Rattus norvegicus: one gene and its partner. The protein of the gene in region 2 interacts with the protein of the main gene of each other region in a pairwise test. Links are inferred from orthologs where the notes say so. Each region holds a gene or a part of one and is shown on either strand. Other genes may lie near its edges. The genes, in order: Ppcdc and Foxr1.

The links.
Region 1: the proteins of Foxr1 (region 2) and Ppcdc interact in binary tests that used the Homo sapiens proteins (3 or more experiments, as listed by UniProt). The two-hybrid records come from large-scale screens. The link is inferred for Rattus norvegicus from reciprocal best matches to the Homo sapiens genes FOXR1 and PPCDC.

Annotation. Positions count from the first base shown.
Region 1 is NC_086026.1:66,731,816-66,736,153, forward strand, and holds the start of Ppcdc (phosphopantothenoylcysteine decarboxylase), read right to left. Parts: upstream 2,874-4,338; 5' UTR 2,872-2,873; coding exon 2,794-2,871; intron 1,770-2,793; coding exon 1,599-1,769; intron 490-1,598; exon of another isoform or gene 301-489; intron 1-300. UniProt on the Homo sapiens protein: Catalyzes the decarboxylation of the cysteine moiety of 4-phosphopantothenoylcysteine to form 4'-phosphopantotheine and this reaction forms part of the biosynthesis of coenzyme A.
Region 2 is NC_086026.1:53,662,962-53,667,567, forward strand, and holds the start of Foxr1 (forkhead box protein R1), read right to left. Parts: upstream 2,911-4,606; 5' UTR 2,470-2,910; coding exon 2,409-2,469; intron 2,369-2,408; exon of another isoform or gene 1-2,368. UniProt on the Homo sapiens protein: Transcription factor which acts as both an activator and a repressor.

The DNA of each region.
Region 1 (4,338 bases), about 13 Mb from region 2:
GTGAAGGAGAGGCCTCCACAGTTCAGTGCCCTCTGGCTGCCTCACTTGGGCTCCAACCCCAGCCAGAGAAAGAACGGGCCAAGGCCTGTTCCAGACACAGCCTGTCCTCCCTCCCAGGGGCCCAGGCTAAGAAAGCCTGGGGTAGGTGGAGCCACCACCCTGCCAGCAGCCCTTTCCTTACACCCCCACACATGCATGGGCTGGGAGGAAGTGGTGTTACCATTCCCTTGTGCTCTGAGGCTGCCCATCTGTGTCCTGGGATAGGACTCCCTACCCCCATCCCCCTACCCGGAAACTCACTTGCTCTGGGGCTATGGGAAAACGGACTGTTTGAGCGCCTGTCTCCCCAGGGGGCAGTGACTACGTCAGAGCCCCTTTCCAGGCCTTCTGTCTCGGGCTCTATCTGATCAGCTTCTAGCAACAGCTCTGGGGCACATGAAACAGAGAGCGGCCATGAGAATCTCTCTTCTCCTGACTGTGCACAGTTGGCATCGTCATCGCTTATTTCAGCCTGGGGGCAGGGAGGGACTTGGAGAGGAGGTAACATTCGCGGTAGAAGTTGGTAGAAAGAAAGAAACAAGGTTTTCCAGTCCCGGACTGGAAGGACCCACATCAGTCATTTGTGTGAGAGAAGCGCCCTCTGCTGGACATGCAGGATACAGCCACCTAGGCGGTCCCACATCAGGGGCTATTCAGACACAAGGAAGGAAAAGGAACCTCAGTGTCTTAATGTGTGCCCCCACAAAACTAGTGCTGGATTAACACATGCAGGACCAACGCAGCCTAGGCTCTATGTCAAGTAAGTTTAGGAGAAAATAAAACCACCCAGGCTGGGACAGGCAGGAAAGGTATGTGTGAGTTGGGGGTTCATACAGACTTGAAGAGTGAAGAGAAAGGGGCAGTTATCTGTAGGAGGTAACCCACAGCAACGGTCATTAGATAGAACACAGGAACAGCAGGAGGCTACACAGACCCACAGAGGATTCTGCGGAAATGACGCATCTACCTGCTGGAGCTGATCATATTTCAGTCTTTGAATTTCTGCTCCTGAACCCTCAGATATAAAACTAGTCAAAGTTGAGGTGGCCTGGCCAAAAACAGGGTGAAAAAAAATCTCCCATCCCACCACACAGGAGTGGCTTCTGGAGTATCTAAGAACACTGGAGGGAACTGGGCTTGGAACAAGAGCAGCCCCTGGAGAGCTCAGTACGTTTGAGACAAGCAAAGTGTCAGACCAAGGACGGAGACCCGAGCCTGGCGTTCAGGGAGGAATGAGAGCGGGAGCAGGGGAATGAGGGGTGCTGAGACTCTTCTGCCCTTCTCAAGACCAGAGGACTTCATGAACCCTCAGGGTCAGTGTGTGGGGTCGTGGCTCCCTCCCCGTCTCTCGTGCCCCACCTACAGTATCTCAATCTAACTTGTGCTTATCTTGTACACTCGTCTGTCTCCTGTGTGCCTCACACGCCAGCACACACAGAGGATCTCCCTCTAACACACCAGGATTAAGGGAAAAATACATCTGCAGAAACGAGTTTGCCCCAGAAGAGGCGATTCCTTAGTGCCAGAAGCCACTACATTTATCTTGAGAGGATACTCACCCCAGGAATGTCCAAAAGCTTTGATACCAGAAGAGGCAGCTTCAGCGCAGCAACGCTTCCAGTGACACCCACAAGAACATGGAACTTTCTCTCCACTGAGGGTATGGAGGCTGGGCATGGGGCCTCTGGTTCCATGCGGGATCTGGTGGCTTTCTGGGAGCTGAGAAGAATCTAAAACAGAATAAAGGGCACCCTCTTCATTCAGTCATAAAACAAGCTGCATGTGGTATGCCCTAGGCCATCTAGATGCTGGGGTTGCTCTGGGCAAAACATTCCCAGCTTCTGGTAACACATAGTGGGAGGACCAAATCAGGCCTCCTCTCCATTCGATGCCTATGCCATGGCTGCCCAGAGACTGTCTCAGATTGTGTCACGTAAAGGTTATCATTCAGGCTGAGTCTGAAGGATGAGCACTGTTTCAGGCAGGAGGAAGTTACTTCAAATGGAATGACCCTGCAAAGCGGAGAGGTCTGAAGGAGAATGGCAGAAAACACAGGGTAGGTTAAGAGAGAAGCTGAAGAGTCCTGAGAAGGGTAGGAGGGACAAGTGGGGTTGTAATGGGGTGCTTTGATGTAAGAAAGCGATGTGAGTGCTGTCAATGTGAGAGGGCCGTGGTGAGTGGTGGAGACCGGGGAGTTACTGCGGTGTGCCTGGCTGGCTGGTGAAGCAGACAGAGAGAAGACAAGGTACAAGGATGCCAGTAAACTGGAGCCACAGGCAATGGGGAGTGCATCTGGAGGCAGGAGACTTGCCTCTGTTGAGCTCCGAAATACAAACTGACTTCTAACAGTCGAATACAAAGCAGTGGGCCACTCCACAGGAGCAGCTGCCTGGGCTCCTCCTCCAGCTTCTGATGCTGTGGCTGATGCTCACATCAAAACTCTACCCTGGCGGCTGGGCCAGCACACCTCACTCCATCAGCCATAGTCACTGAGGACCAAACCCTGGGCAGCAAAGTGTGGAAGACAACACTGCTGCTTTTACAGACTCTGTGGATGGATCTGGGGGGCGCCCTTTTCTCCACTGAACCTTGTCAAGGGTCTCTCACGGTTCAGACATCAGTTTCCTTTGCCTTTGCTTCTTCCCCTACCAGCCATCTCTCTGGGTTGACCAGATGACCAGATTAACCACCACCCACCATGTCCCTCACTGTCACAGTCCTGGTTATCTGCCGGAAGAATAAACTGCACTGTACCTGCCCTGTGAAGCAGGAGTCCAGGTCCTGTCCAGGGCTGTTCTCCTGATCTGGTGTGTGATCTTGAGCAGGGATCATTCCCTCCCCCAAACTCTTTGCTCATATGAAAGACATGGGAACAGTTGATTTCTGAAGCCTCCTGCAATACAGCCTGAGTGTATGCCAAAAGCAATGGTAAGTGGCTCTTTCTGCAAGACAAAATGTTGTCGTAGAAGATGTACTCCAAAAGGTCAAGGTCAGCCATAGAAGGAGAACCCAGTAGCTCCAGCTCCCTCCAAGCCTAGGTAACCACATGGGGCTGTCTGCCACTTGCAATTGCCACAGCATTCAGTCATATATCCATAAGAGCTGAGGTGATACAGAGTACCCTTCTCAAAGGGGGTAAGCACAAATTAGTTCTCTAGGTACAACTCCTATTCGTAAAGTTTACCTTGCTCAGCACTTTTTAAAGATTTACTTTACATATTCACTGTTCATGTGTGTGGGCACTGTTCATGTGTGCAGGCACTGTTCATGTATGTCAGCACTGTGTGTGGTATTTTGACTGCATGTATGTCTCATGTGTGTGGTATTTTGACTGTATGCATGTCTGTCCTTCACTTGTGTAAAGTGCCCACAATGGCCAGAAGAGGGTGTCCGGTTCTCTGGAATTGGAGTAATAGATGGTTATGACCTGCCATGTGGGTCTAGAAAACTGAACCAAGGTCCTCTACAAGAGCAGAGCTCTCTCTTAACCACTGAGCCTTCTTTCTACCCTAGCCCCACCACCAATGCCAAAGAACCCTTGCTACAATTCATAGCCTCACCCAGGACCAGGCCTGTTAGAGAAATGAGTCCACCCAAAATCTGAAGAGCACTGTTAACAACTGACAGAGTCCATGGGACCTACCGCCAGCTTCTCCCAGAGCACATCATTAGTAGGTGAGAGGCACGTTTGGGTTCTGTTGTTAATTATTTTTAAATTATGTGTGTGTGAGAGAGAGAGTATATGAACTTGAGTGCAGATGCTCTCATAGGCCAGAAGCATCCGGTCACCTGGAAGTTGGAGTTCTGCGCAGTTGTGGGCTTCCTGACATGGGTGTACACACAGGCGATAGGAACAGAACTTGGGTCCTCTGCAAGAGCAGTACAAGAGCCATGTCTCCAGCCCCATAAGAAGCACATCCTTTTTTTTTTTTTTTTTCTTTTTGGTTTGGTTTGGTTTGGTTTTTCGAGACAGATTTCTCTGGGTAACAGAGCCCTGGCTGTCCTGGAACTCACTTTGTAGACCAGGCTGGCCTCAAACTCACCAAGATCCGCCTGCCTCTGACTTTGAGATTAAAGGAGTGAGCCCCCATGCTTGTTAAAAGGCACATTTTTGAATCTCCAGAAAAACTTACCTGTCGATCCTCAAACCTCGACCCTATTGTCCTTCTTCAGTCAAATGATGCAAGAACAGGGGCTGGGGATTTAGCTCAGTGGTAGAGCGCTTGCCTAGCAAGCACAAGGCCCTGGGTTCGGTCCCCAGCTCCAAAAAAAATAAATAAATAAATAAAATAAATGATG
Region 2 (4,606 bases):
AATCTTCAACCACAAAACAGAGACAAAATATTGTGTAAGACTGTATTGAGATGGAGGGGGGTGTCTCGTCATGTAATCCTGGCTGGCCTATAACTTGCTATGTAGACCAGGCTGGCATTGAATTCATAGACTCGTCTGCCTCTGACTGCTGGTGTAATACTGTGCCCAGCTTCGAAGGTTTATGACTTTACGACATCATCCTATGGTATGTGAGTGTCCAGTTGATGTATATTTGGATTGGATTGTGTTAAAATATTTGATTTATCCAGTATGGTGGTGCAGGGCTTTAATCCCAGTACTTGGGAGGCAGAGGCTGGTGGATCTCTGAGTTCAAGGCCAGTTCTAGGATTGCCAGGGATGCAATCACATACCAAGAAACCCTGTCTTGAAGAACCAACCAACAACCAACCAACAAACGAACAAAAAAAGAGGCACAGGGGTTGGGGATTTAGCTCAGTGGTAGAGTGCTTGCCTAGCAAGCGCAAGGCCCTGGGTTCGGTCCCCAGCTCCGAAAAAAAGAAAAAAGAGGCACAATAACTTTGATTGATAAACCTGTCTGTAAGAGCACACACCTGTAACCCCAGTAGTAGGAGTCGAGAGCAGGAAGATTGTGAATTTGGGGCACAAAAACTTATCTGACAATTTTGATGGACATAAAAACATAGTAAAGCCAAGGGGGTTTGTATAGGGTTATATAGTCCCAGCCCTTGCGAGTCTGAGGTGGAAGGATTACATTTGGAATGCAAAAATTGTACAGCACCTTTAGAGGATGTAAAAGCCTATTGGAGCCTATGAGATGGTTCAGTGAGTCACAGGGCTTGCTGTCTGGCCTGCCAATTTGAGTTTGACCTCAAAATAGAATGACCAGACTCCTATAGGATGTCCTGACTTTCACATGTGTCCTATGGTAAGATCTCCGTCATACAGTGAGACCCGGTCTCAAAACAACAAAAGAAAATGTTAGGGCATTGTGTCTGTCTCTGTCTCTGTCTCTGTCTCTGTCTCTCTCTCTCTCTCTCTCTCTCTCTCTCTCACACACACACACACACACACACACACACACACACACACACAATAATGTATTTGATCAGATTTACCCCATTTCCCTTTGTTGACCCCCTTTATTCCTTCATTTGGGGGAAGGGGAGGGCAATAGTTTCTAGTCCAAGCAGCCCTTGAGTCCTGCTGAAGCCAAGGATAATCCTGACCTCCAGACCCTCCTGCCCATCTCTCGATCTCAGTCCTTGTAACACCGTATCAGCCGGGTTCTGTAGGCTCTACCACTGTTTTTATACTGGGCTGTCTTCTTGGGGATGGTTATCTGTTTCCTCAGTCTCTACACTGGATTCAGCCTTGGTCCAACTGTTGTTACTCTTAAATTCTAACCATATACCAAAGCCACTCAACACGTGTCACCAATCACACTTCTCCCCAGAACCCCATGCCCTGACATCTGTCTACTCTTCCTGTTTAGATAAACAGCCCCAAGCCAGGAACTCCAGCCTGATCTAGAGTTCTGGACTCAACCCAATGCTTCAAGGGTGAGAACCTGTCTCAAAACAAAACAATACACAAACGTGTCCAGAAACAAAGAGTAGGGCCTTGCACAAGACACCTTTAGGCTGGTCTAGAACTCCTGGGCTCAATCACTCCAGTCTCAGCTTCTGAAGAATAAGACATTTATATGTGGACGTGGAAATGACAGATCTGACTAACTGAAGTGGGGAGAGTAACGTTAACCCAACGACCTTGCACTGGGGAAAAAAAAATCAACACACTTTAAAAGCAAGAGTGAGTTCTGTCCCCAGCTCCGAAAAAAAGAAAAAGGAAAAACAAACAAACAAACAAAAAAACAAAAAAAACAAGAGTGATCACCTAAAACTTGAACTTTCGGTTCAAGGACGAAGAAAAACTTAAAAAGAACAGGTCCACCATCCTGTTGGCACTATTAACTCCATCTTGTACTACAGATAAAACGAGAGGTGGGCTAGCATCCCGGGATGGTGGCCCATGCCTAGAGCACCAGTAGGTCAACTGTTAAGACTTGAGGCAAACCTGGGTTTCAAAACAAAAACATAAATAGCAACAACCAAAGACGCAAGGATTACCTCCCCAAAGAGAACAGTGATTGTTTTCACACCGAAAACTAAAGCCTGCGGCATGCCAAGTTCTCATGCGCAAGCGCCAAAGCTCAGACGAGGTCTAGGAATGTTCTGGGGGTGATGGGATATGAGCTGTAGCCCACAATATGTGGACTCTGGGAACTCAGTTGCGGTAGGGCCACACACACGCCTGCGTGGGATTCGAGACCCTGATCCCAGTGAAGTGGCGAGCCTGGGAAGCCAGAGGCGGTCCACCCACTGGATGCCGCAGCCACCCACGCGCCCCTCCCCCACAGCCCCACTCACGTTTCTGCTCGGCCTCCGACAGGTGTGACGTGGTGAAGGACAAGAAGCACTCATTGCCCATATCCCAGTCCAACAAGCCCGGGACCTGGCCATGGAGGCTGGCCCAGAAGTCCCGGTCCTGGATTTTGGGGTCCACTTTTAAGGATAGAGGAGACCAGTAGTGCGGGGTGCAGGAGGCGGAGAGACTCGCTTGCGTGGAAAGTGCGTCCTCAAACCGCGGGGAGTCGCGGGTGGGAACGGTCAGGAGCGCAGCGCCCCTGCAGACACTCCGGATTGCCTCAGGATCCACCCAGCTCGCGCTCACCAGGTTTTCCTGCGTCTGCGGATGTGGCTCAGCTGCTTGAGTGCCTGTCGAGCAAGTTCGAAGCCCACACCCCCTAAAAACAGATTTCGAGCTACATTCCTAGAATCAATTACACTTGGCGGAAGCACAAATTCAAGGTTACCCTAAACTACCCAAGCAAACTGGGCTCGAGGGGGAGGATCTCTGGGTGGGTGGGCTAGGGAATGGAGGGGATGGAGGAGGAGTTTAAATGCGGGGGCGTGGTGGTGCAGGTTGCTAGACCAGCAAAGGTTTTTTTTTTTTTTTTTTTTTTTTTTTTTAAGGAAAAAAAAAAAAAAAGGAGCAGGGAGTGTGGGCGCAATTCAGGCCTTTAATCCCAGCACTCTGGAGGCAGAGGCAGGCAGATCTCTGGGAGTTCAAGGCCTACAGAGTTAGTTTCAGGAGGCTATACACAGAAATCTTGTCTCAAAAACATAAACTATAAAAGAACAGAAACAAATAAATGAATGACGAGGAAAAAAACAGGATGACTCAGTAGGTAGTAGAGCAGAGATTAAATTAAATAGCAAACTGGTTTAAATTTTTTTTGTTTTTTTTTTTTTTTCTTCTTTTTTTCGGAGCTGGGGACCGAACCCAGGGCCTTGCGCTTGCTAGGCAAGCGCTCTACCACTGAGCTAAATCCCCAACCCCCCCTTTTTTTTTTAACTTCAAATTTACAGAAAAAACTTTATAGCTATCTACTTTACATCCTTATTAACCTTTTATTCATTTATCCGTTTATTTTTCTCAGTTCCGGGAACGGGTGGGCCTGGTACGTGCTAGGCAAGTGCTGTACCGTACAACTATAATATCTCAGCCCGTAAGCGTCTCTGTACATATGCACGTATACACATATATTTCTTTTCAGTTTGTTGAAAATAGGCTCATAGCAGCTGGACTTTGAACTCTGTGTACTGAGAGTAGCTGGGAAATCTCGAGCTTCTTTCATCTACTTCCCAAGATTCCAGATGTGCAGGGCTGGAGAGATGGCTCGGTGGTGAAGAGCGCTGGCTGCTACTATTCCTAGAGGATCCCAGTTCAAGTCCCAGCACCCACATGACAGCTCACAACTGTCTGTAACTCCTGTTCCAGGGGATTCAACACACTTACACGGACACACACAGAGACAAGATGACCAATGCTCGTAAAATTCGACCTTTTTTTTTTTTTCCGGAGCTGGGGACCGAACCTAGGGCCTTGTGCTTGCTAGGCAAGCGCTTTACTGAGCTAAATCCCCAACCCCTGCTCGTAAAATTCAAAGTAAATCATTTAAAAAAAGATTACAGGTATGTACCATCATGCTCAGCTCCTTATACACACTTTTACATATATGTTACAGTCCATTTATTTTATGGGTGTGAATGCATGTGAGCATGCCACGGTGCTAGTGAGGAGGTCGGGGGACAACCTGGGGCAGTTGGTTCTCATCTTCAATCATTGGGTCCCAGGGATAAACTCAGATTGTCAGATTTGGGGGCAAGTGCCTTTATCCACTGGTTCATCTTACAAATCCTCAGTAGATATTTTCCTTTCTTTTCTTCTCTCTTCTTTTTCTTTGTTTGAGACACTGTCTCTCTATCCAGGAATTCCCAATGTAGACAAGGCTGGCCTCAAATTCAAATAGATCCACCTGCCTCTGCCCCTAGGGTGCTGGGATTAAAAGTGTATACTGCCACATCCAGTTCCCTGTTCTGGTTTTCTTTAATTAACTGATGGCTGATCAATGATGGGAATAGAATCCAGGGCCTTAGGTAAGCCAGGCAACTGCTTTACCACTGAGTTACATCTCCAGCCCTTAAAAGTATATCATTTGTAATGAGTCATTTAGTAATTTGTCAACAGAATATCCTTTTACCTAGAAACACCTTAGTATTTC